Xenopus tropicalis: one gene and its partner. The protein of the gene in region 1 purifies or fractionates together with the protein of each later gene. This does not show direct contact. Links are inferred from orthologs where the notes say so. Each region holds a gene or a part of one and is shown on either strand. Other genes may lie near its edges.

What was found.
Region 2: the proteins of phf5a (region 1) and snrpb2 purify together in Homo sapiens (affinity purification with mass spectrometry; 4 studies listed by BioGRID and IntAct, with this or other methods). This does not show direct contact. The link is inferred for Xenopus tropicalis from reciprocal best matches to the Homo sapiens genes PHF5A and SNRPB2.

The regions. Positions count from the first base shown.
Region 1 is NC_030680.2:120,351,001-120,355,472, reverse strand, and holds the start of phf5a (PHD finger-like domain-containing protein 5A), read right to left. Parts: upstream 2,844-4,472; 5' UTR 2,710-2,843; coding exon 2,658-2,709; intron 665-2,657; coding exon 641-664; intron 1-640.
Region 2 is NC_030681.2:29,852,174-29,856,538, reverse strand, and holds the start of snrpb2 (U2 small nuclear ribonucleoprotein B''), read right to left. Parts: upstream 2,928-4,365; 5' UTR 2,889-2,927; intron 2,887-2,888; exon of another isoform or gene 2,637-2,886; intron 1,008-2,636; 5' UTR 989-1,007; coding exon 925-988; intron 172-924; coding exon 1-171. UniProt on the Homo sapiens protein: Involved in pre-mRNA splicing as component of the spliceosome. Associated with sn-RNP U2, where it contributes to the binding of stem loop IV of U2 snRNA.

The DNA of each region.
Region 1 (4,472 bases):
TCAGTCCCTTGGGCCGATTCAGCAGCTAATTGGCCCGTGTAAGCGCACTCCCAACAGGCCTGCCCGACCGATATCTGGCCTCAAATTGGCCAGATCTCGATGGGGCAGGTTAGAAAATCTAGTTGGATCGTGGACCGCATCGGCTCATTGATGCAGTCCCCGGACCGACTTTTCCTATACCTGCTGTTATAATTCGATCATTTGGCCCCAGGGATCGAATTACCCTGGATTCTCCCGATATCGCCCACCCATAGGTGGGGGATATCGGGAGAAGATCCGCTCGCTTGGCGACATCGCCAAGCGAGCGGATCTTATGGTGTATGAGGACCTTAAGTCTAACCTTACATGCACCCCACAACTACACACACTTTTAAACAGACTGTAAATTCTTGATTTTCCCCACTCAGCAGATGTTAAGCAATGTCATTTTTTTAATAATGTCTAATGTAATACAACTGCTGAATATAGAATATATAATCAGATATATCAGAGATATCAGATATAGGACTGGCAGCAACACTTAAAAACCATTGCTTGTTGAGAAATAATCAGTTGCACAAAGAAGACAAAGGTGAAACATTTTTTGCATATGAACAAATGCAATTTATATTTTAAAAGTTTAAGAATTATATATACTCACATTTTTCACAGAGTCTTCCAATAGCTGCAATAGAAAATTATAAATGTAAGTGTTTATATATATATATATATATATATATATATATATATATATATATATATTAAACAGTGGTCATCATGTTGTACACATATCTTAAATATCTAAAATGCTTTAAAGGACATGTAAAACAAACAAAAATGTAATCAGTGAACAGCCTCATTGAAATCTTTAAATACCTGCCACTCCTGTTGTTCAAACGGTTAATAGAAAGGCTGCAGTATCCCCTTAATCACTTAGGATTTCTTTTCCTCCTCTAACCCGCTCTGCCCCATCCCTTATGAATTGACTTCGGCTGGTGGCTAACGAGCATGCTCAGTTCTTCTTAACTCAGGTTACCAAACACAGCCTCCAGTCTAGCAGCCAATGAAGAGATCACTGCTGGTTTCCCTAGAAACGCTGCTCTCGCTGTGTAATCTGCTGGAGCTCAGTTTACGGTTACAGGGCACAATCCAAGCAGGACTTCTTGTTAAAGTAACTTTAATATGTGCAATTTACAGATGTTAAAGGAAAAGGAAAGGCTAAGTCACTTGGGGGTGTCAAAACGTTAGGCACCCCCAAGTGACTTTAATTGCTTTCCTTTTACCCCGGGCTGGTGCCCCTGTTAGGAGAAAAACGCACCAGCCTGGGGTAGCTGCGAGTGTGGTCTCCTCTTCTTTCTTTGCGCACTTGCGCAGTAGAGTGAAAAGCCAAACTTTAACAAAAAAGTCGGCTTTTCACTCTACTGCACATGCACCGGCCCAGGGATTTTGATGAGAAGGAAGAGGAGACACTTGCTCACAGCTACCCAGTGCTGGTGCGGTTTTCTCCTAACAGGGGCACCACACAGGGTAAAAAGTAAGCGATTAAAGCCACGTGGGGCTGCCTAACATTTTTTTCTCCTTTAATGTCACTAAAGATGTGCGAGAGAGAATATGGCCACCGGGTAAAGCTGCTATTTGCTTTAGGAAAATGTGATGGTTTTGGCAAACAGAGGGGTTATATGCAGTACAAATGGTAAAGTTTGGTTGGGGGGGGGGGTATGTGCCAACTTATATACGTGGTAGGAAGATAAATGGTTTACATGTCCTTTGAAAGCTGTAGTAAAGACTAGCTTTACTAGCTCCAACAACTTGCCAGTACAAACATGAAATTAATTTATAAATTCAGTAAGGCATTAATTAACCTCAAATGGTATTGGCTGGAACTGTTTCAGTATTGTATGTACCGACGTATCATTGCATGTATAGTATCAGATTACCAGGAGGTCCACAACAATGAAAGCCCTAAGCTTTAGAATTCATTATCTGTTATGTTAAATACAATGTAGCTTTAGAAAAAGGAAAACATTAAAAAAAAATAAAAAATACAAATCTGTGTTTCTATAGCACGCTGTTTTTTTGCCATTACACAGGTCACAGAGTAATCTCACCCATTCGATGCACCTAAACATTGTGTTTTGTCATTTTCCCTCACATTCATAACATAAGAAATTCATGTTGGAAAGCACTTCAATAGTAACATTACTGTGCAGATCACCTCTGTAATTATAATAATCAACATTTCCCTTAAATAAGAAGTTAGGTTTCTCTGCAGATTTCTGCAAATATAGGACAAGTTCTGTTGCATGAGTTTAAATAGGAAAGTCAGATTGTGCTTTAGTAGAATTGCAATAATCAAGGAGTTAGCATTCAGCGTATAACTAGATCAGGTTCAAGCTCCACCTCTCAAACTACAATCTGAAACATAAATATACATAACAATTATAAAACTGAAGTATTGTGGATAACAAATAAAAGAGGGTTAATGAAGCCCTGTGAGGGAACACATATACCTGTTACATACGCATACAAGGAGAGTATACACAAGTACCGAACGTGCTATCCGAATGATTTAGAAAGGCAATCAATAGAAACGGCCAATCTATAATGCCTACGAGAGGAGAGTTTTCTGTCCTCAGTTTTACACCGTTACACCGAACACATTACCCAGCGCAACTCACCCACGCCCGCCTGTTTTCTGCAAAAAATCAAATCTGGATGATGCTTCGCCATGTCTGTTTAAATTCCTTTCCTTCGCCGGCCGCGCGTTCACTCCAGTTCTGTGTTCCAAGCCTCTTTCTCGCCCATGGACTTTACGTCATTTCCTTGCTGTTACGCCTAGGAAACTTAGCTTGTGGGTTCCAATTGGTTAAAGAATCGCTTAGACGCTTCTCTTCCTTCTTGTGCGATGAACTTTTACACCGGATATCCTGTTAATAGGCGTTTCGCTTTATAAAAGATTTGCGTTTTTTCGGCCCCATAGTACTGTTTCCTTTAAAGGGGCAGTCTACAGCTAAACATACTTTGCCAAAAATAAAGTACAATAAAGAAAATGCAATTAAAATATATTCTATGGGGCAGATTTATCGAAGTACGATGTTCATACGTTTAAAAAGCATGATACAAAAAAAATCGTATCAAATACGTTTTTTTGTATCATGCTTTTTGAAGTACGAAAAATTTGTATTTAAGAATATAATAAAATCGGATCTTTACGATATATATATTTATATTTGAACAGTCGTAAAATGTGGGAAAATCTTTCTGACTTTGATCCTTCTGTGCATGATTTTGGAAGCCTCCCATAGGACTCAATGGCACTCTGCAGCTCCAACCTGGCCCAAGGAAAGTCTCCCATAGGGCTCAATGGCACTCTGCAGCTCCAACCCGGCCCAAGGAAAGTCTCCCATAGGGCTCAATGGCACTCTGCAGCTCCAACCTGGCCCAAGGAAAGTCTCCCATAGGGCTCAATGGCACTCTGCAGCTCCAACCCGGCCCAAGGAAAGTCTCCCATAGGGCTCAATGGCACTCTGCAGCTCCAACCTGGCCCAAGGAAAGTCTCCCATAGGGCTCAATGGCACTCTGCAGCTCCAACCCGGCCCAAGGAAAGTCTCCCATAGGACTCAATGGCACTCTGCAGCTCCAACCCGGCCCAAGGAAAGTCTCCCATAGGGCTCAATGGCACTCTGCAGCTCCAACCCAGCCCAAGGAAAGTCTCCCATAGGGCTCAATAGCACTCTGCAGCTCCAACCTGGCCCAAGGAAAGTCTCCCATAGGGCTCAATGGCACTCTGCAGCTCCAACCTGGCCCAAGGAAAGTCTCCCATAGGGCTCAATGGCACTCTGCAGCTCCAACCTGGCCCAAGGAAAGTCTCCCATAGGGCTCAATGGCACTCTGCAGCTCCAACCTGGCCCAAGGAAAGTCTCCCATAGGGCTCAATGGCACTCTGCAGCTCCAACCTGGCCCAAGGAAAGTCTCCCATAGGGCTCAATGGCACTCTGCAGCTCCAACCTGGCCCAAGGCAAGTCTCCCATAGGGCTCAATGGCACTCTGCAGCTCCAACCTGGCCCAAGGAAAGTCTCCCATAGGGCTCAATGGCACTCTGCAGCTCCAACCTGGCCCAAGGCAAGTCTCCCATAGGGCTCAATGGCACTCTGCAGCTCCAACCTGGCCCAAGGAAAGTCTCCCATAGGGCTCAATGGCACTCTGCAGCTCCAACCTGGCCCAAGGAAAGTCTCCCATAGGGCTCAATGGCACTCTGCAGCTCCAACCCGGCCAAGGAAAGTCTCCCATAGGGCTCAATGGCACTCTGCAGCTCCAACCTGGCCCAAGGAAAGTCTCCCATAGGGCTCAATGGCACTCTGCAGCTCCAACCCGGCCCAAGGAAAGTCTCCCATAGGGCTCAATGGCACTCTGCAGCTCCAACCCGGCCCAAGGAAAGTCTCCCATAGGGCTCAATGGCACTCTGCAGCTCCAACCTGGCCCAAGGAAAGTCT
Region 2 (4,365 bases), on another chromosome or scaffold:
TTGGTTTATTATAAAAAGGGAAACCCTGCAACTGCCGCAGAGCATTTGTAGCAGAACTCAGCTCTTTGAAGATTACAAACGCTTGTCCTCTCATTTTCATGGTCTTTAATGCCACAATGTCTACAACATGGCCAAACTGGGAGAATAGCGCATACAATGATCGCTTTAGTTCTGAAAAGAAAAAAAAAAAAAAAAACTTCACAGTATAAGTATAAAAACATGTATGGTTAAATCTCTTGCACGGATTTTGATAAGGTGAAAATAGAATATCAGTATTAGTTATTACATTTATTACTAAAACCAGTGCCATGGGATATTCTGCACAAGAAGCTTTTCTGTGCATATTAGTGATTATACAAATGACTGGGTGCGGCCGTGATTGCACATGTTGCCGACACTCTCTCCTTTCGTATTGCTTGCTGATTGCAGTGGTGCACATTTTAACTGAAGCACCTAGGCAGGCACCATCCTCAATAAAAAAAAAACATCTAAAATGATAAGAAATCGTTACTGATGGCCTTTTTACCTACTTGCTGCCATCAAATGCTAAGCACTGGTGAGCACTAGATCAATAAACAGCAATAATATCTAGGGCAAGAAGCATAATAAATAGCAGAAGAATAGTAGTATATGAAATGGAAAAAGTAGACTTCTGAGCAGATTTTTTTTTAAGTTAGTTTTACACTTTTAAAGCTTGAAGGATATTTAAGTTTGTTTGTTTTTCTTCATTTCTCTGCAGTTTTTACTATTTAGGGGAATACAAAGGATATAGGAGAGTAAAAAATGCCTTCACAGATAACAGCATAAGGAGTTGCAATACCAATGCTGCTGTCTAGATGTAAAGTGTACTCTGCCAGGAAAGACTGTATAGAGTGTAGACTGAGAGTGTATAATATTCAACATTTAAACGCTCCTCACACTTACCCGGTTTTTTTACTTTATCACAGAGGTTGTTGATGTAGACAGTGTGATTTGGCCGAATATCCATGGCTTGTATATTCTAAATACTGAAAGAGATGTTAAAAAAAAAAAAAAGGACCTTAGATATAGAAAAAAAGTACAGTATTACTCAAGGTTCTTTTCTCCTTGGAGATGGACTACTGTGCCACACACACATTTTTACCAGTGAGCCACATCCAAATGTAAAAAGAGCTGGGGAACAACACAAGCATGAAAAAAAAAAAAAAATTCCTTCTGGTGCCAAAAAAAGGCTGTTATTACCTCTTTGGTATTCCTTACGTGGACTGGCAGCCTAAAGGGACTCTGTTGGGCAGTACATCTGGTTTTTATGCAACCAAAACTCCAAGCCAGGAATTCAAAAATAAGCACCTGCTTTGGGGCCATTGGGAGCAACATGTTGCTTATGAGCCACTCATTGGGAATCACTTCCCTAGAGTAAAGCAATAATTTTCAAAAGCCAGGCACACTGTAATATTACCAAAACTAACCCGCCATGATATTGCACATTAGACAAGCCTGCGAACCACATCTGTCAGACCCACTTTCAGATCAGAATATTATTATTGTATATAACATGTGCCATGAAATTCCAACTGAATTCAACCTACATAAATCTATACATAAAACCAAATACATGCTTGTACAGGTATGAGATCTGTTATCTGGAAACCCATTATCCAGTTTATTAAAATAATTCACTATTTGAAAATATACTAAATTGTTCTCTGTTGTAATAAAACAGTACCTTGTACTTGTTCCCAACTAAATTATTTTTTTAGTAGACTTAAGGCATGGAGATCCAAATTATATAAAGACCCCTTATCTGGAAAAGCCCAGGGGTCCCATGCCTGTAATAGTATAATGCATGCTTTTAAATTGAATTTCTTTTTATAGCCTACAATTTCAGCAACACAGATAAGACTATAAGGCATAGCCCGGCATATTTTTCAATAAATATGAAATATACAGACTACTACAAAATAACATCCCATTATTAAAAACATGTAACTGCTGGATTTAGTAGTACAGGTATGGGACCTGTTATCCAGAATGCTCGGGACCTGGGGTTTTCTGGATAAGGGATATTTCCGTAATTTGGATCTCCATCACTTAACTCTGTTAAAAGTCATTTTAATATTGAATAAACCCAATAAGATTTTTTGCCTCCAATAAGGATTAATTATATCTTAGTTGGGATCAAGTACAGGTACTGTTTTATTATTACAGAGAAAAGGGAATCATTTAACCATTAAATAAACCCAATAGGGCTGTTCTGCCCCAATAAGGGGTAATTATATCTTAGTTGGGATCAAGTACAAGGTACTGTTTTATTATTACAGAGAAAAAGGAAATCATTTTATAAAATTAAAATGATTTGCTTATAATGGGGTCTAAGTGAGATGGCCTTTCCGTAATTCAGAACTTTCTGGATAATGGATCCCATACCTGTAGTATTATGATTTAGTCACTGCACTTTTCTCCCATACCCAACAATATACAGGCAAACTAGCCTGCCCCTGTGTATATTAGTGTGTGTATAATACACAATTATAAGCTTTAGTGCAGCTCTTTCCCAGCCATACACTGGCGACCCCCAGTCGCACACAGATCAGGGACAGCTCTATTGATTGGTTGCAATGTATGGAAACTGATTGCAGTTACAAATCAATCAATACCATTAATTACCACACGAAGTTGCCCCTTAACCGAGTTACAGCTACATATAAACCCGCACTACAGGCGCGTTTTATTCCAATAGCAACAGAACGGGCAGGAGTTGGACGTGGCTGCTGGGGAAGTTGTTGCTCATTACCCGCTGCCAGCTTCTCACCAAGCGAAGGAGCGGAACGTATAGAACTATTACCAAAAGAAACCCTCGTACAATGACAAACAAGCCCGGCAATCACCCATACAAGCTCCTTCCTTACCGCTCACACACGCTTCCGTGCGCCTTACGGCTCCAAGCTGGCGTCGCACGTTGATTTCCAGCAAACGCGCATTAGAACAGGAAAGAGACGTACGTCACGGCTCCGAGGTCACTTCGGCCATCTTTCGTAAGGGCAAAACCGCCTTCGCATAATTGATCATAAAGTTATTTTCTTTGACGTTTTGTACATTCCCAGGTTGCGACTAGAGTGTCATATAATAAACAACTGTTTTTGTCTTTCCGCCAAAATTTTAAGCACCTGTGTAATACAGTGGAACGGCGGTATTCATTATTAAATTATGGCAGGGAACGTTAGGGCAATACGTGGGGGTCAGGGCTGTTTTAAATTCATTTGGGAAGCAACAATAGTACAAATTTTACCTCATCTATAGTAACTTATGGCACCATTTCACCTGTATAAAATCAAACATGTATTGCTTGCTCTCTAGGTTACTGCAGCTGGGTAAATGTCCTTTATATTACATCTTGAGAAGAGGTGCACAAAACAAGCACACCAGAGCTGTTAACCAACCCCATGATAATGATCCACTCCATGCCTTTTTGAGTCCTTATTTCATGTTATCATATAGGGGCCCATTCATTTTTTTAGAAAAAAAAATAGCATTTTTCTATAGAACATTTCGGAATGTCCACAATAATTTCGCTCACATTCCACGACTTTTTTGTGATTTGCACTAACTTCGTATTTTTCGCAAAGACTACAACCATTTCGGGATTCATTCAACCTTTGGTATCGTGACTATCTTTTGGCCAGGTTGGAGCTGCAGAGTGCCATTGAGTCTTATGGAAGGCTTCCCAAAATCATGCATTGAAGGTTACAAAGCCAGAAAGGTTTTCACGCCATTTATGAACGTTCGGATCCGAAAATTTTGTGACTTTCGTAATGCAACCACAATATTTTGTTAGATGTGTCAGTGACATTGCACATACTCAGTGGGCTCTGGGCAGCTGTTGAGAAGCAAAGCTTAGGGGTTGTCAGAAATCAGAAAGCAGAAAATAAGGTTCTCCTGTTATTGAAGCTGATGCTACAGGGTTTATTATTAAATTCTGGAGCAAACTGTATTCCTTTCATGTAATAAAAATCTGGTTTAACAACTTATCAGCATTGTATTATGGCTTTTATCAGCATTTGCACCCCACATCTTTGTTAAGCTTTAGTTCTTTTTTGACCCCAATACAAGTGACAATTCTTTTACCAATATCTACTGTATTTTAGAGTCTACTCTAGCTCTAAAAATATATACAGTGTAACTACACAGCACTTTGGAGGGGCCTAGTCCACACTTTAACCCCATACTGATCCCCCACTCACCTGCATACATCCCCCACTCTCCACCACTCACTCTCACGTAGGAGAGCAGCCAGTGAGTGGGGATCTCCTTACACCTAAAGAGAAAGTAGACCATGTGGTCTGGGGCCCTTGTCTCCTGGACCCACCCCTGCAACTGTGGGGTCTG